2 linked regions of the Nothobranchius furzeri genome follow. The protein of the gene in region 1 interacts with the protein of each later gene in a pairwise test. Links are inferred from orthologs where the notes say so. Each region holds a gene or a part of one and is shown on either strand. Other genes may lie near its edges. The genes, in order: copb2 and copa.

The links.
Region 2: the proteins of copb2 (region 1) and copa interact in a two-hybrid assay, tested with the Homo sapiens proteins (2 studies listed by BioGRID, with this or other methods). The link is inferred for Nothobranchius furzeri from reciprocal best matches to the Homo sapiens genes COPB2 and COPA.

Annotation. Positions count from the first base shown.
Region 1 is NC_091751.1:58,296,004-58,300,403, reverse strand, and holds the start of copb2 (coatomer subunit beta'), read left to right. Parts: upstream 1-1,306; 5' UTR 1,307-1,435; coding exon 1,436-1,438; intron 1,439-1,822; coding exon 1,823-1,960; intron 1,961-2,073; coding exon 2,074-2,160; intron 2,161-2,517; coding exon 2,518-2,644; intron 2,645-2,766; coding exon 2,767-2,915; intron 2,916-3,107; coding exon 3,108-3,254; intron 3,255-3,483; coding exon 3,484-3,583; intron 3,584-3,675; coding exon 3,676-3,818; intron 3,819-3,954; coding exon 3,955-4,154; intron 4,155-4,266; coding exon 4,267-4,377; intron 4,378-4,400. Other genes in the region: retinol-binding protein 2-like, read left to right, coding at 1-3. UniProt on the Homo sapiens protein: The coatomer is a cytosolic protein complex that binds to dilysine motifs and reversibly associates with Golgi non-clathrin-coated vesicles, which further mediate biosynthetic protein transport from the ER, via the Golgi up to the trans Golgi network.
Region 2 is NC_091751.1:41,088,852-41,092,672, reverse strand, and holds part of copa (coatomer subunit alpha), read left to right. Parts: intron 1-508; coding exon 509-618; intron 619-1,017; coding exon 1,018-1,117; intron 1,118-1,372; coding exon 1,373-1,591; intron 1,592-1,800; coding exon 1,801-1,951; intron 1,952-2,325; coding exon 2,326-2,392; intron 2,393-2,492; coding exon 2,493-2,568; intron 2,569-2,697; coding exon 2,698-2,780; intron 2,781-2,864; coding exon 2,865-3,090; intron 3,091-3,278; coding exon 3,279-3,417; intron 3,418-3,677; coding exon 3,678-3,821. UniProt on the Homo sapiens protein: The coatomer is a cytosolic protein complex that binds to dilysine motifs and reversibly associates with Golgi non-clathrin-coated vesicles, which further mediate biosynthetic protein transport from the ER, via the Golgi up to the trans Golgi network.

The sequences.
Region 1 (4,400 bases):
TAATAGCGTCTGTCCTTATTGTCACTAGGTTGATAAAAAATAGAATCTACATGTTTTCCAAGCATTTTGAATCAATAAATGATCTTTAATTATTCATTGTGTTGTATTTTATTTGTTAGCGTGCAAATCCCTCATTCTGTCAAGGCAACAACACATGTGTTTGGAATAATTTAGAAGAGTTTTGCTTCTAGTTTAACTTTAAAAACCCAGTTCCTTTTTCTGCTTTTACTCATCTTCCTCATCATCCTTAATTTTATTATTCCCAAGAGGACAAAATGGAAGATTAACATTTTTTACAGCTTAATTAAGATAAGGAGGCTGAAATATTTTCTTCTAAATGGGTCACGGGTTCGATTCCAGCTCCCGCCAGGTGTATCCTGCTGTCGTGTCCTTGGGCAAGACACTTCACCCAACTTGCCTGTGTTAGTGGTGGTCAGAGGGGCCGACGGCGCCAAATGGCAGCCTCGCCTCTGTCAGACCTCCCCAGGGCGGCTGTGGCTACAAGTAGCTTACCATCACTAGCAGTGTGTGAATGTGAGAGTGTGTGAAAGCGTCTTTGGGTGTCTTGAAAGCGCTATATAAGTTCAATGCATTATTATTATTATTATTAAAAAAATAAAAAAAAGTACCCGCGTTCAGACACTGGAGGGCAGCAACTCCCCATCTCCCCGTCTTTTATAAATGCTGTTGGAAACCAAAGTGTTGTTCTGTTGTTTTGCCAGTAGAGGGCACAAGTTCTCCGTTCTGTCAAGGCAACAAAACATTTTATTTGGAAGAATTTAGAGAAAGTGTTTTTACTAAGTAACAATTTAAATTAAAAAATCCTGTTCCTTCTTCTGCTTCTACTCATCCTTCTTCTCATCCTTAATAGTAATACTCCCAAGAAGATTAAGATAAGGAAGCTGTGTCCAGGACGAACCAAGACCCCCAACCTTTACCCTCATGAACACATCAAAAGTGAATAATTACAAGCTTTATACAGGCATACTAAGATATACTTCTTATGCAGAGTTTTGATTATACGATTTGGTGTGTTTTGGGGCTTTTATACATTTAACTTTTGAAAATATAATCTTGGTAATCCCACACCCCACTGTAATCTTTGGGTTTCACGGATCCCAGGTTGCGAACCACTGAGTTAGAATAAATATTAAAATTACAAGCTTAAATATTGTTTAAAAAATGTCCATGTAATTCAGTAACTTTATTTGAGTTACAACAGCAACTTGCAACCTACAAAAAATAAAAAAATAAAAAAATAACTTGCAACCTACAAGCTTCCATGTCACGTCAGCAGTTCCAACACAGTTCTCGCGAGATTTCGTTTCAGGAAGTTCCACGTCAGTGTCCTGCAGAACGCTGCTCACTGAAATCGCAACATTTGGACTCGATTGGACGTTAATCGGATCTAGCAAAGACATCCAGGGCGGAAAATATGGTAAGCTGTAGTTTAGAAAGTTATAAGTGTGCTTCTTTTCGATAAATGTCACCCGAGATTCAGTTTAATCTTTAAACAAAAAGAATGAAATGCTTAAAAGAGCCTAGCGGCTAACTAGCTTAAGTTTGCATAGAATATTGTCTCTCAAACACGTTTAAACCTAAATGTTAATGTCACATATATCTATCCTTATTTTTCAACGAATTAGTCACAGATGAATGTGTGACTGATCAACTGAAATAGCGAAAAAAACAGTTTTAATTTCATTTGTTTCTGATGATTGATACATTGGTGTTAAGTTGACGTTCTGCTACTACTAGCTAACAGCAACAAAGTACAGTTTGAATAGTGTCTATTAACACATTGGGTTTATTTTTATTTAAGCCTCTGAGGCTGGACATCAAGAGGAGGCTAACAGCCAGGTCGGACCGGGTCAAGAGTGTGGATCTTCACCCAACCGAGCCATGGATGTTGGCCAGTTTGTACAACGGCAGTGTCTGTGTGTGGAACCACGAAACGCAAGTATGGAATACACCCAAAGAGTAAAACCTTTGATCTGTGCACCATATAAACAAACAAATATGTGAAAAACATCTATAAAAATCACAATCAAAGTCGATCTGTTTTTATTCCAGACTCTGGTCAAGACGTTTGAAGTGTGTGACCTGCCTGTCAGAGCTTCCAAGTTTGTGGCAAGAAAGAACTGGGTGATCACAGGAGCAGTGAGTCACAGGAATTTATTTGTTTTGAGCCTACACCTCTAAAAGCTTCTGTAATATATATATATATATATATATATATATATATATATATATGTATATATATATATATATATATATATATATGTATATATATATATATATATATATGTATATATATATATATATATATATGTATATATATATGTATATATATATATATATGTATATATATATGTATATATATATATATATGTATATATATATGTATATTAGTGTAAAACTGCTATTTGATGTTATTTTAGAGTTAAAACTTTTACTAGAAAACTTAGGAAAAACTACACTTTTCTACTTTATTCATAATTTCTTTTCTCTTCACAGGATGACATGCAGATCCGTGTGTTCAACTACAACACCTTGGAGCGGGTCCACATGTTTGAAGCCCACTCTGACTACATCCGTTGCATTGCTGTCCATCCAACTCAGCCATACATCCTCACTAGCAGTGGTACACTATTTACCCTACTAAACCTATATTTTCTACAGCTTTAAATGCAGCTGTGGCTCTGATTAGGCTTATGTATCCTTTTTTTGGGCACTTGAGCGTGATTGTGTTTTATCTTTGTGCAGACGACATGCTGATCAAGCTTTGGGATTGGGAGAAAAAGTGGACATGCAGTCAGGTGTTTGAGGGTCACACTCATTACGTCATGCAGATCGTCATCAACCCCAAGGACAACAACCAGTTTGCGAGCGCTTCTCTGGACAGAACCATAAAGGTAGATTTTTCTGTTTGTGCAAATGGATAAATGGAATGTAAAACTGTATATAAGTGTAGATTATTGTTTTTAATGAATGTGTGTAAGATCAACAGCTCCTTTATATTTGATTTGGTGCAAAGGAGTCAGTGGTAAGAAGCGTACTGTGTCTGATTATTTTTGTACAGTTCTCTCTCTCTTTGTGTTGTACAGGTTTGGCAGCTGGGCTCCTCATCTCCTAATTTCACTCTGGAGGGTCACGAAAAGGGAGTAAACTGTATTGACTACTACAGTGGAGGAGACAAGCCCTATCTGATATCAGGGGCTGATGACCGCCAAGTCAAAATTTGGGACTACCAGGTTAGAGAAGTTTTATTTGGTTATAGTTATAGTGGCATGTACACAGAATTTAAAGTAAGTCACCAAATGGGGAAAACTGCATTAATTTGAAAAAGTACAGACTATTTGTTTTATCTCGCATTAGAAAAAGCCCAAGTTAGGTATGGTGATTTTATTTTTTGGTCTTTGTAAGTTTTATCTAGCATTTCCTCTACATACATTTATATCCCTCTTTCTCTGTGTGTTGTAGAACAAGACTTGTGTTCAGACTCTGGAAGGTCATGCCCAAAATGTCTCGTGTGTCAGCTTCCACCCAGAACTACCCATAATCATCACGGGATCAGAGGATGGTGAGAAAAAATCTCCCTCAACCATAAAATCCACAGGAACGTCCTCTCCTTATGTTGTTGTTTTGTGCAATATCGTCGTCTTTCCTCTCCAGGTACGGTTCGAATCTGGCACTCGAGTACTTATCGCCTGGAAAGCACCCTGAACTACGGCATGGAACGAGTGTGGTGTGTGTGTGGCCTCAGGGGATCCAACAATGTGGCACTGGGATACGATGAAGGCAGCATCATCATCAAAGTGAGTAAAAGGAAGATTTAATCTAAAGTTGGATTAAACTAATGCCTCAAAATTAACTTTTTAAAAGAAATCCACATTAAAATGAAATAAACGGTAAAAGTAAAAATGTGTACGCTTGTTTTACTCTGCGGTGTAGGTTGGTCGGGAGGAGCCAGCCATGTCTATGGACACTAATGGCAAAATCATCTGGGCTAAGCACAGTGAAATACAGCAGGCTAACCTGAAGGCTATGGGGGATGCAGAAATCAAAGATGGGGAGAGACTGCCACTGGCTGTCAAAGACATGGGTAGCTGTGAGATTTACCCTCAAACCATCCAGCATAACCCTAATGGAAGGTAAAAACACGCGTTTCACTTGTGACAGCCCCAGAAAGTCATCACTCGTCATCCGAATTTTGTTGAATGTGGAAGAAATTCTGTTGATTTGTCGTTGTTATGTGTGTACTAGATTTGTTGTTGTGTGCGGAGATGGAGAGTACATCATTTATACTGCCATGGCTTTGAGGAACAAGAGCTTCGGCTCAGCTCAAGAGTTTGTCTGGGCACACGACTCCTCCGAGTACGTCCACACGGAAAAGATGT
Region 2 (3,821 bases), about 17 Mb from region 1:
CATATCCCATGCTTTCCCTGGAAACATCCACGCCTGCACATAGGTTCCTAGTGCTATTTCCTTCCTCTTAGTGCTGTTGAGCTATCTGTTCACCACATAATCTTCCAATGGGCTGAAATCATGAATGCAATACTGTTTTCTTGTCAAATTTCCTTCCTGATTTAGTCTGAGTTCTGGAGATGATCAGTAAATCTACTGTGGTGTTCAGTTGAATCAGTCATTTCTTCTGGCGCTGCTACTGTGGTGATTGTTTCCAGATTCATCTTAATGAGGAAACGAAGGTTGTGTTTGTGTGTTTCAACCCCATGTGTGTGTGTTCAGTAGTCCAACAGTCCTATTTTTACTCTGAATTTGTTCTTTTGTTTTACATGATTTGACCCCATGTTTGATCATGTGGAATGATGTTTTGTTTTGTGTTCTTCCTCCTCCTCTTTGCTGGGGTTGTGCTCTGTATAACATGAACATGGCTTTCCTTCCTTGCACGCGACCCTCTAATTGATGGTTCCAGGTCTGAGGAAGAAGAACCTGTCTCCTGGCGCCGTGGAGACGGAAGTGCGCGGCATCACTGGGGTTGACCTATTTGGCGCCTCGGATGCTGTTGTGAAGCATGTCCTTGAGGTGAGCAGCAAACTTGATTTGTCTTATTTAGTATTCTTAAGACTTACGTCTCAATCTAGTGAATACATTTTTAAACAGCTTAGCAAAGGAAAATGTCCTTTATTTTTTGTGCCTGGCAGGTTTTGAACTCGTAGCTCAGTTTTCAAAGGAAGCTTCCATTTTTTAACTTATTCATTCTGCTATTGCTGTTCTTGATAGTTTTGGCTAAAATATTCAACAAAACTGGCATCTTTCTCAAAGCCTGACTTTCTCAGTGTTTGCATAAATTAAAAATATAATTCCTTGCTCTCATGCTTGTAATTTGAGAGCACCAAAGAGAACAGCCTTTAGCTTCGGTGCTGAATGTGTGCGGAGATATTTAAGCATTTGTTGGACTTGAGTTTGTGCGTCTGTGGCCAGGGTCATGATCGTGGGGTCAACTGGGCTGCCTTCCATCCCAGCATGCCTCTCATCGTGTCGGGAGCTGATGACAGACAGGTGAAGATCTGGAGGATGAACGGTAAGACAGGCACATAATAAATCAGCTGCTCCACGTTTTGCTCTGCAGCTAGTTGCTGCAGCAATGTTTAAATATTCAAACATGTCTGGCGGAGGCTATTATGCCAACATTTTACGTTCAATTTACGTTATTTACACACTCGCCTGTCTGGCTCATATTAGCTTTGAACCAATCGGCATTGAACTAAAATGTCACGCTTTGCAGATTATGTCATTTATATGTTTTACTAATCTCATCTTTTCCTGTTTTGTCCAGAGTCCAAAGCATGGGAGCTCGATACTTGCCGTGGTCACTACAACAATGTGTCCTGTGCAGTTTTCCACCCACGTCAGGAGCTCATTCTGTCCAACTCTGAGGACAAGAGCATCCGAGTCTGGGACATGTCCAAAAGGACCGGAGTGCAAACCTTTCGCCGTGATCATGATCGCTTCTGGGTCCTGGGGGCTCACCCAAACCTCAACCTGTTTGCAGCAGGTAAGTGTCGACCCCAACATTAATCTATAGATGGGCGGTTTACGCTGTTGGTGAGGTTTTACTATTTGAACTTAAAAGAATGATTCCAGTTACTACAATTGTATTTGACTGTAATAAAAACAATGTGTTACTCAGCTAAAGGAAATAATTAGCAAATTTAAAAAGTGATTATTTTTTTAAATTTGATTATTGTCCTTTATTATTTTTAGGTCATGATAGTGGTATGATTGTATTCAAGCTGGAGCGGGAGCGCCCTGCGTACGCTGTACACGGCAACATGCTGTACTACGTCAAGGATCGCTTCCTCCGTCAGCTGGACTTCAACAGCAGCAAAGACACTGCTGTCATGCAGCTCCGCAGGTTGGTAGTTGGAGGTTAAAGTACAGCTTCTTCAGTGAGCAACAAGAGGTTTGATCACTTGGTCTCCCCTCCTACCTCTTGACTAATTTATGGATCTCAATAGCTTTTTATTATTTACAGCAAAACAATGAAAGATGTCTTGTTGATCATCTTTTACCACAAAGTTTGCAGCAAAAATGTCCTAAATGCAGATGTGAAGAAATTCACCTCTGCAAGTTTATTCTTAGACTTCATTAGACAAGGCTGAATGAACAGTGATGATGAATACAAATGATTTAGACTTGTAGTTTCAACTACTGTACTGTTATTGCCCATTAATGTGGACTGAAACAGTAAAATTGCACCAAATTTCTTTTATTAATTTTCTCTTCTAGTGGTTCTAAGTTCCCGGTGTTCAGCATGTCTTACAACCCTGCCGAGAACGCTGTCCTGCTCTGTACTGTAAGTATAAAAACCCTCACTGATAACGTTTGTTGCCCATAATTGTTTTATTATTATTTTTTTTATTTTTTTTTCTCCAAATTCTTTGTTTTTCCTGCAGAGGGCCACCAACCTGGAGAACAGTACTTACGACTTGTACTCGATTCCCAAAGAAAGTGACTCTCAGAACCCTGATGGTAAAGACGATTCATGATAGAGGACATGTTAGACCTTTTTAATTTCTCAATTTGTTTTTATTTTTTATCCAAATAATTAGATGCATCGTTTGGTCATTTAAAGTGGGAGAATTTATTTTTTATTCCCAGCACCTGAGGGGAAACGATCTTCTGGTCTGACGGCTGTCTGGGTGGCAAGAAACCGGTTTGCTGTTCTCGATCGCATGCACTCTGTAAGTTCACTTGCAAACAATGGTGTTCTTTATGAAGAATTAAAAAGGCACTAAATTAAAATACCATTTGTTTCTCCTTCACAGCTTCTGATCAAAAACCTGAAGAATGAAATAGTGAAGAAAGTCCAGGTGCCGAGCTGCGAGGAGATATTCTACGCAGGAACGGGTTCGCTGCTGCTGCGGGATGCTGATGGCGTCACGCTGTTCGACGTGCAGCAGAAACGTTCGCTGGCCACTGTGAAGATCGCTAAGGTCAAATATGTGGTGTGGAGCTCTGACACCAGCCACGTGGCTCTGCTGGCTAAACACGGTGGGTTGATGAGAGGAATGGTGCAGGTTTAGTTCAGTCAGGCATTTGTGTAGAGTAACAGAAAATAACATTAGGAAATAAGATTTCACCCTTTATTGTTGCACATTTAGCCTAAAAATGTAAGTTGATGCTCTGTAAAATTTATTTTCAGACACATCAAAGTCTTTTCTTCATCTTTCTCCCTTCAGCTATAATGATTTGCAACCGTAAGCTAGATAGTCTCTGCAACATCCACGAAAACATCCGAGTGAAGAGCGGAGCCTGGGATGAGAGTGGGGTCTTCATTTACACCACCTCCAACCACATCAAATATGCCCTCACTTCTGGGTAGGTCGTCTAGTTCTGGATGCAGCCCAGATGTCTTACAAATGTCAGAAAATCAAGAAACCTGAACATGTGAAGTGTTGGAGCTAAAAGATGGTGAGAAAGAAGGTAGTGAAGCTAACTGCTAGTGTGCACAGATTTTCCACATGGAGACTTTTTTTTTAGATGGGAGTCTTTTATTATACAAGTTAAGTTGTTTTTTGAGCACGTTACTGTGTGCATTTGAAAATGAATATTATAGCGCCCTGTTTATGACTCTGTAGTGACCACGGCATCATCAGGACCCTGGATCTGCCCATCTACGTGACCCGTGTGAGAGGAAACAGTGTTTACTGCCTGGACAGAGAATGCAGGCCCCGTGTGCTCACCATCGACCCGACTGAGTACCGCTTCAAACTGGCTCTGGT